2 linked regions of the Kluyveromyces lactis genome follow. The protein of the gene in region 1 interacts with the protein of each later gene in a pairwise test. Links are inferred from orthologs where the notes say so. Each region holds a gene or a part of one and is shown on either strand. Other genes may lie near its edges.

Region 1 (4,366 bases):
ATGGAGAGTCAGGTGACTGTACACCAGATTCAGCAGCTTTTTTTGCAGGTGTGCCGTTGGCCGAAGATTCGGTCTCTGCTCTCTCAATTACCTTGGGGGTTATATCTCCATTTTTCTTAGTTTCTTTCGGTCCTTTTTTCGTTGTAGATTCAGCTTTCTTGCGAGCAATCTCCTCTTGTCTCGCTCTTTTGGCAGCTTCTCTTTCAGCTCTCTTTCTTTCTTGCTCCTCTTGTTTTGCTCTTCTAGCAGCTTCTCTGTCGGCCCGTCTTCTTTCCTTCTCTTCCTCTTTCGCTTTTCTGGCTGCTTCTCGCTGTAATCTTCTTTGTTCTGCTTCTTGCTTCTTTTTCAATACGGATGGTGTTATTTTCTTCAGTTTGATGTCTTCGCTATTTTCTTTGTTAAAGGAGGGTTCCGTGTTTTCTTTGTTATTTTGGGATCTTTGGGATAATGTTATATTCTCATTTTCAGCATCACCATCGGAATCCTCTATGAACTCAGGGGAGATATAATCCTTTTTATTCCTAGTAGGGGAAGGCGAAAGCTGGCGATCTATCTTATCATGTAGCTGCATCGAAGGCGACGGCGTCACTTCCTTGGGTGTATCAACAGGCTTCAATGTTATTAGCCTCGAGCTAGTGACTTTGGCAGGCTGGGAAACACTCTTCATTTGGTCGACCTTACTTTCTGATTTCTGTGGATTTTCTGAACCAGCAGCTTTTCCTTCCTCATTTCCTGGTTCATCAGCACTTTCGCTTTCTTCTGAAGAGGATGATGATGAATTAGCTGAATTTGTCTTGTTAAGCTCATTTGTATCCTGAGTTTCCTCAACCGGTACCATAACTGGTCTTAATGGATGCACATTTAGTCTTTTGAGGTTGACTTCATCCATGCTATTATCACTATTTTCTGTTTCAATGTCACTATCTGAAGATGGTTCTTCACTAACGACTGCAGAAGAAGAAGAAGAAGAAGACGAAGACTGCAACGGTCTCCTTGAGGTTCCTGTAGAGATGAATTGGGCTGCTTTTTGAGCAGCCTGTCTTGGGAGCTTTGAAGGTAGGATATTTCTTGGATCAGGTTCACTATTGTCGATATCTTTGTTTAATACCGTAAGATATGGTTTTCTCGATCGTTTATTAATATCATTTTCCTGTAAAGCTCCAGCAGCTCTTCTGAAGGCCGGAGGGACATCGAATTTAGACCCCTTCAATAATTCGAGCAACTCGGATTTCTGGAAACTACCATCCATTCGGTCAGTTGGATGAATGCATACAGTATCATTGGCCTCATTTTCACTTTCTGCATTTTCAGATTCCGATTCACTGAACCCTTCTTTTCTCGTAGTATTGCTTGATAAATGGTTATCAGCTACTAGTTCTGATGCATTTTTAGCTAATTTTTCCACTTTCGCCTCCAAAGAACTTTTCCTCTGTGGTGGAAGGTCAGCTACTTTGACATTCATGCGCTTAGTAGCATCTAGAGGACTTTTCTTTGTCGGAGAACCGTTATCATCGGCAATGGATGAAGGTGCACGACTCTGCACACTAACTGGCAATGGAGCTTTTGAGTTGACTCGGACCGGAACGCTTTCTTTGTCTTCAGTAAATTCTCCTTCAGAGCTAGAGGAATCGTGCTCGTCAGGAATATACTGTTTTTTCATTGGAATTTTAGCTGACTTAGGTGGCAGAAGGCCAGCAGCTGGAGAAGAAAGACCTTCATGCATTGTTCTTTCCATCTCCGAAATCCTGGGTTCGGGAATGCGTAGCATTCCTGAAGTAATCCTTTTATTGGTGACCACCGGAGTAGAATTAATTCTTAACAAATGCTGTGCTTGCTGAGGCATTGCTAAGAAACCTGGTCTATTAGGTGTCTCTATAACGTTCATTGGTTTCATTGGAGTGCCTGATGGTAATCTTTGCTGTTTAGCTTTACTTGGATCGACTGTTTCTGATTTTGACACAGTATCTTCTGAGCCGTTAATTTTCAATCGTTTTTGCGCAATACTTGAACTTATTCTAATTGGAGGGGATTGAGGAACAGTTGGAGGTGGTAAAATGGATTTATCACCTATTTCATCATCCCCATACTCATCCTCTTCATAGTCAGAATTTACTTGTTTCGGATTTCTTTGACTCGGAGGAGGATAAATTTGGTGCGCCAAGGGTGTAGATATCCTCAATGCAGAGTTTTTTAATGCTTGCGGTCTCCTTTTTGCAACTGTTACGGGTTGATCTAATGTTGCACCTGTCGAGGTGTTTTGTTGAGAGTTCCCGTTATTCAACTTTCTTCTCTTGGAAGAGTATAATGATTCTTGCCTATCTGGATTAGATTCTAAGTCAACATCATTTCTTAAGATTACGCGAACTGTATTGTAAACATTGAACACATCTTTTACGACAAAATCAGGATCCAAATCACATTCATCTACATCTTGTAAGGTATCGATTTCTAATTCTGTTGATAAATTGGGGTAAATTTTGTTACATTTGTCTAATATTTCCTGCGAGAGCTGATATAACGTATTTGTTGGTTTCGTAAATATTAAGAATTTTTTGAGTTTCGGTCTTGTGATATGGGAGGTCATAAAACTGGAAAGATACGCTGTATTTGTTGATACATTTGGGTCTAGAGCCCCAATTCCATTCTGAGCCGGAATATTATTCGCTAATTGGGGAGCATTTCCTCCCTGTTGCAGAACCTGTTGTTGGACAGGCAGAATAAACTGAGAGGATTCTGATGATACAGAAGGTAAACCAAAATTGAAACTTCTATTAGCGCCCGCAGGCACCAACACAACTTGCAACTTAAACATTGCAAGAAAACGATCACACCTGTTTGAGTTTATAAAAATACTCTTGCGACCAGTTCAATGGAGTTGATTTCAAATTGTAACCCCAAGGACACTGCCGATAGATACAACTGTCTCGACTATTTGTTTTTGTTTTGTTCTTTGTTGATATAATTTGGTTCTCTTCATTTATGAAATGTTCAACTTTAAAATAGATAGAGGTTTTGACAGAAATGCCGCCTTCGTTTAATATGATTTGAGAAGCTAAGCGCTATTGTATTATGTACATAAGGCAAACACGTAAATATGTTAATGGTTAGTGAATAATGATATGGAGAAGACCGCAACCTGAGGGCCTGTCATTCCTAACATCAGAGATTTTAAGTAAGATTCCTTTTTTGATGGTATCGTTTATTTTCTTTTTGTATATTTTAAATATAGATGTTAATGTATCAAATAGATGAGAGCAACTTCGTCTTGAGATATCTGCATTCAGTTGGGGGGTACAAAAGAGGCGCACTGAACCTAACAATTCGAGATCGACAAATTTGAGTAATAGAATTTTTATTTTTAGTTGATAGACATTCCGTTCCCCTTCCTAGCAGGTTTATGGACCTGTCCGGCAGGTGTTTTTTTATTCTTTGCAAATGACGGCAACCTCAATGATCTCGTAGAAGGTTGTCTTTCCGTGTCATAGGTCTCGAAATTCTCAGCCATGGATTGGAAGAAAGTGTTGAAGTTTGATTGAAGTTGGGTTGATGGCATATGTGTGTAATCAGACTGAAACGTTATATTTTTATTAGCTTTAGTGGAAGCGGAAGGAGGAGATGAAACTGGGCTGTTGTCCTGATGGACTTTAACATCATACGATAGAAGGGTAGAGCCAAGCTCTCTTTTATTAAGGTCAACCATAGATCTAAGCAGAGAAAGAGCCATTGATGTTTTAAGCTCATAAGGATCAATTGGTTTCTTCAACTCTCTGGCTTCAAAAAATATCATAAGGTCAGTGGCAATAGAGTCCCAATCGATCTTCATGGTATCCCTAATGTTGAACTCTTTAAGTAGGTTTCTGACCATGAAGATATGCTGTGAGTCTTTCAATGCTTCAACTAGACGATCAGGTAAGTCCGTTAACGTATTACTGCCGTATAAAGTTGCTATTGCAGAACTCAACTTCCATTCTGAACGTGATTTCCATAAAGAATACGTATCTTCAGCGACGCAATATTCTAAAATGTAAAACGGCTTGTCATGATCGTCAGTATCATCACTATGCGAATTGGACTTTATCTTTAAGTTTCCTGTAATTGTTTCCACAGCTCTTAGTTGCAGCTGAAACACATCTTGCATCCTATGTAAATACCTTATTATCTCTTCAATTCGCGGCACGTTCTTGATTTTGGTAAGCTCGACTTTCGGCTTATTTTCACCAGCATAAACGTATATCTTATCCATTTCTCCCAATGACTCCAGTCTATTGTTATCTTCGAGTGCCACCTACAGTTATTCACCTAATTGATTACTCTCTTCTTTTTGATTACGTGTCTGTAGTGGGTTCAAGCAATCTATATTTGAATA
Region 2 (3,471 bases), on another chromosome or scaffold:
ACGATGCTTTTGGGAATAAAAGACTCAGTACTTTCTGGAATCAAGAACTGTTACGGTAATGAAGCATTTAGTGGTTGGAGAATCCAATCATTGACTTTAAAGGCTAAGGGGATTGATGGACCACACGACATCACAACATTTGGTCGTGTGCCAGAGGCATTGTCTAGATCTGTCAATAACTTGCTTGAAAAATTCCATCAATCATTCTTCTTTTATCTTCTACTAGCACCTCGGTATTTTATATCAATCGGGACTTATTTGGCGACTGCGGTGGCTGTCTCGGTGGCCTTTGTATTCGCAGCATTAAATCAAATTTTGAATAACAAATATGGTGAACTTCCGTTGCTGTCTATATACAACATTTGGTCAATTCTAACATTCTGCATTTCTTTGGTATTTGCCTTTGCTACTTCGCAACTATTCGTTTATTTCCCTCTACCTCGAGTCCTTTTGGGACTCAGTGGTATATTTTCGGTGCTTCCGCTGCTTTCGAGAACTAGACTAAGAATCCAAGAACCTTTCTCATACAGATTTAAAGCTTTCGCATACATCTATATGGCCATTGTTTTGACTTCTCTATTAGTATTGAATTTCTCACTTGCGATTGTGATGGGCTTGCTTGCATTCCCAATGACAAGAACTACGACAATTATCGAGAGTAATCTAAGGCTGTCGATAAAAAACCTTGTCTTGCTTATAATATCCAATCCTTTCATTGCAACTTGGGCAGTGGTGAACTTCGTGGAACCAAGATTATCTGGTTTCAAGGTTTTTTACGCCCTTATTGAAGCTTCGCAACAGTTGGGGTGTTGGACATGGTACATCATTTGCTTAGGATGGTATCCGAGCTGGTTACTAGTAACGTATGCTAGTATTGATGCCATTGAAGTGCAGACGCCCATAAAAAAAGAATAAACGTCTATATTTTAGCAACAAGTGTTATATAAAAACAAAAACTACTCATCAGCAAAAGGGGCCCGCTTATTATCATCGTGTGTACATATATGTAATTGCTCATATATACTGAGAAGCTTTTTACCATGCTTATTATGTTTAGAGTATGATCGAGATCAATTTGTTAATGCTAAGCAAAACCGAAAAAAAAAAGTTTGTAACGGGTTCTTTCATCAGCTTCAGCGTTTAAAGTAACCATTCTCAACCTAATGAAGCATAGCCTGGTTGTTCCAATCTCTGCAGTGACTATATAAGATATTGTTCAGAATAAGGTAATTTGTTCTTCGTATCATTTCAAGGTATGAATATTAGTGATACTGCTGATAAAACTACCAACAAAGAGAAGTCTGGGACAACCGATGAGATGACATCGGAGAAAGATAAACTTTTGGGAATCAGAAGTCCGGAAGGCGAAGTAGCTTTGTACCCTGCTAGTGCTAGTACAGAATCTACTGAACCTGATTTTAAATTTGTTCTGCCTGTCAAAGGTTTTGATTTAGGAAGCTTTTGCGGAGAATTGGATCAAGACATGTTAATTGAAGGTAGATTACAACTGGAAAAAGAGATTAACACCGTTAAAGGTCAACTAACACAACCAATATACGACTTACTGCACTCTGATGCCTTAACCAAAGAGAATCTACTCAGAGCCAGTGATAAAGTTACTAACTCTACTGTGGAGAATAAATTCGTATTGCTAAAGAGACGCTACTACGTTCAAGAGAATTTACTACACGATGTGAAGCGTAAAGATTTAGTAGTATATGAGCCAAATGAGCTATTCGACTTAATAATGTCTGTTCATGTACTGAATTCACATGTTTCGTCTAAGGGAATCTACAATGAACTTTCGACCTTCTACGCAAACGTCACTCAATCGTTCTGTAAGTTAGTGACATCGTTTTGTTCTAAATGTAATGAAAGTGGGAACAAGATAAGCTATAAAAAATTTAAACACGAGAATATACATGCAAATCTAATTCCATTGGGTAGGTGTCATGTTGAAATCTTTGCACCTTTTGATTCGGCCTATCAAGGGAACGACAACACGGACGAGTTAAAAATTGAAGGAAAATATCCATTTGTTCTGTATTGTAGGGATTATTACTCAAGGTATGTCTGGTTAGAACCCTTGAAAAGTGTTACCTTATCTGATCTATTGCCAGTGATGACAAAATTATTGTTTTCCATGATTAGGATGCCCATCTTTATCGACACATGTACTTTGGATAGACAGGATATGTTCGATGTTTGTGAGAATATTGCAAGAATATACAAAATTAAGATCGGACTCGGAATGAACAGCTCTACCAGCTTTCAGAAAACTGGAATCAAAAGAATGAAATCGTTATTCCTCCAACATAAGGAAGAATGTTTACATGATTGGAACATGTGTTTAAAGTTGGTTGTTTCGAGACTAAACCAAAATTATTCAGACAGAGTTCGTGGTGTTCCAAGCGATTTACTATGTTCAACACAACAAGATTTACATAAGAAGTTCAGGACGTTACAAAGAAATGTCATCTCTAGACTGCTGGGGCATCATGTTGTTCAATTTGAAGAAGCTGGTGGAATGATTTACCTTGAAGATGAAAATAGCCCAAATCTACTTCTTTCCGGAGATGACAATAGTGAGGAATCAGAGCATGATTCAGAAATATTCGATGAGCTGGCCTCTTCTCGAGATGGTACTCCAATTTCTGAACAACCTTCACCACACCGAACGAACATGAATTATGATGGGATAAATCAAGAATCGGAGAAACACAGGATAACAAAAAAGAGATCTAAAAAGGTGAGACGTCCTTTAGATCAAGACAAGCATGCTACGCGAGCGTCCGTATACAACCCGTATAACATTGCTGACGTTTCTATGGAGCTATGATGGTATGTTTTTTTAGAGTAACCGTAATACAATTATAAAAATTCTTCATAAAAGAATACTTGATGATAGATATTTAGATTTAATGTAATTTATACCAAAATTTTTGATTAAAGTTCAAATTAAAGAAGTTGCGATTTATGTTGGCCCGTCCAAAGCGGGAAAATTGAAATAAAAGTGACAAACGAATGGTTTATAAGCCGGTCAAATATTAAATGCAAGTTAATACAGCCAATTCGTATGTGTTGCTTGATCATGATTCGTAACTATTTTTGAAATTTTTTAGAATGAATTGAAGTGGATGATGAAGCATGCTCAGGCATACCCAGAACCTAATCACGGTACTTGTCAAAGAAGGCCTTGTGGAATTTTTCCCATGTTTCTACCCATTCGGTCCCTGGTGGTAGGAATGTGGTTCTTAAGTGATAAGTACCTGGGACTTGTCCGAAACCAGATCCTGGAACGGTGCAAATACCAGTGTTTTCTAGTAATGCTTTACAATAAAATTCATCAGGTTCCATTTCAAGATGCTGAGCTTCCTGGATAACTTTATAAGGAAGATCGAGTTTTGGATATAGGTACATGGCACCTTGAGGTTTACGGCATTCAATACCTTCCAATCTAGAGAATGTTTC

The links. The genes of interacting proteins can lie anywhere in the genome.
Region 2: the proteins of KLLA0_C09394g (region 1) and FOB1 interact in a two-hybrid assay, tested with the Saccharomyces cerevisiae proteins (2 studies listed by BioGRID). The link is inferred for Kluyveromyces lactis from reciprocal best matches to the Saccharomyces cerevisiae genes NET1 and FOB1.

The regions. Positions count from the first base shown.
Region 1 is NC_006039.1:816,371-820,736, reverse strand, and holds the start of KLLA0_C09394g (uncharacterized protein), read right to left. Parts: upstream 2,813-4,366; coding exon 1-2,812. Other genes in the region: chromatin-associated RNAPIII regulator FPT1, read right to left, coding at 3,359-4,243. UniProt on the Saccharomyces cerevisiae protein: Has a role in chromosome maintenance and is involved in mitotic exit. Inhibits the action of CDC14 by sequestering it in the nucleolus. Also binds to RNA polymerase I and stimulates rRNA synthesis.
Region 2 is NC_006042.1:1,772,072-1,775,542, forward strand, and holds FOB1 (replication fork barrier binding protein FOB1), read left to right. Parts: upstream 1-1,255; coding exon 1,256-2,839; downstream 2,840-3,471. Other genes in the region: GPI-anchor transamidase subunit GAA1, read left to right, coding at 1-915; KLLA0_F19162g (uncharacterized protein), read right to left, coding at 3,169-3,471.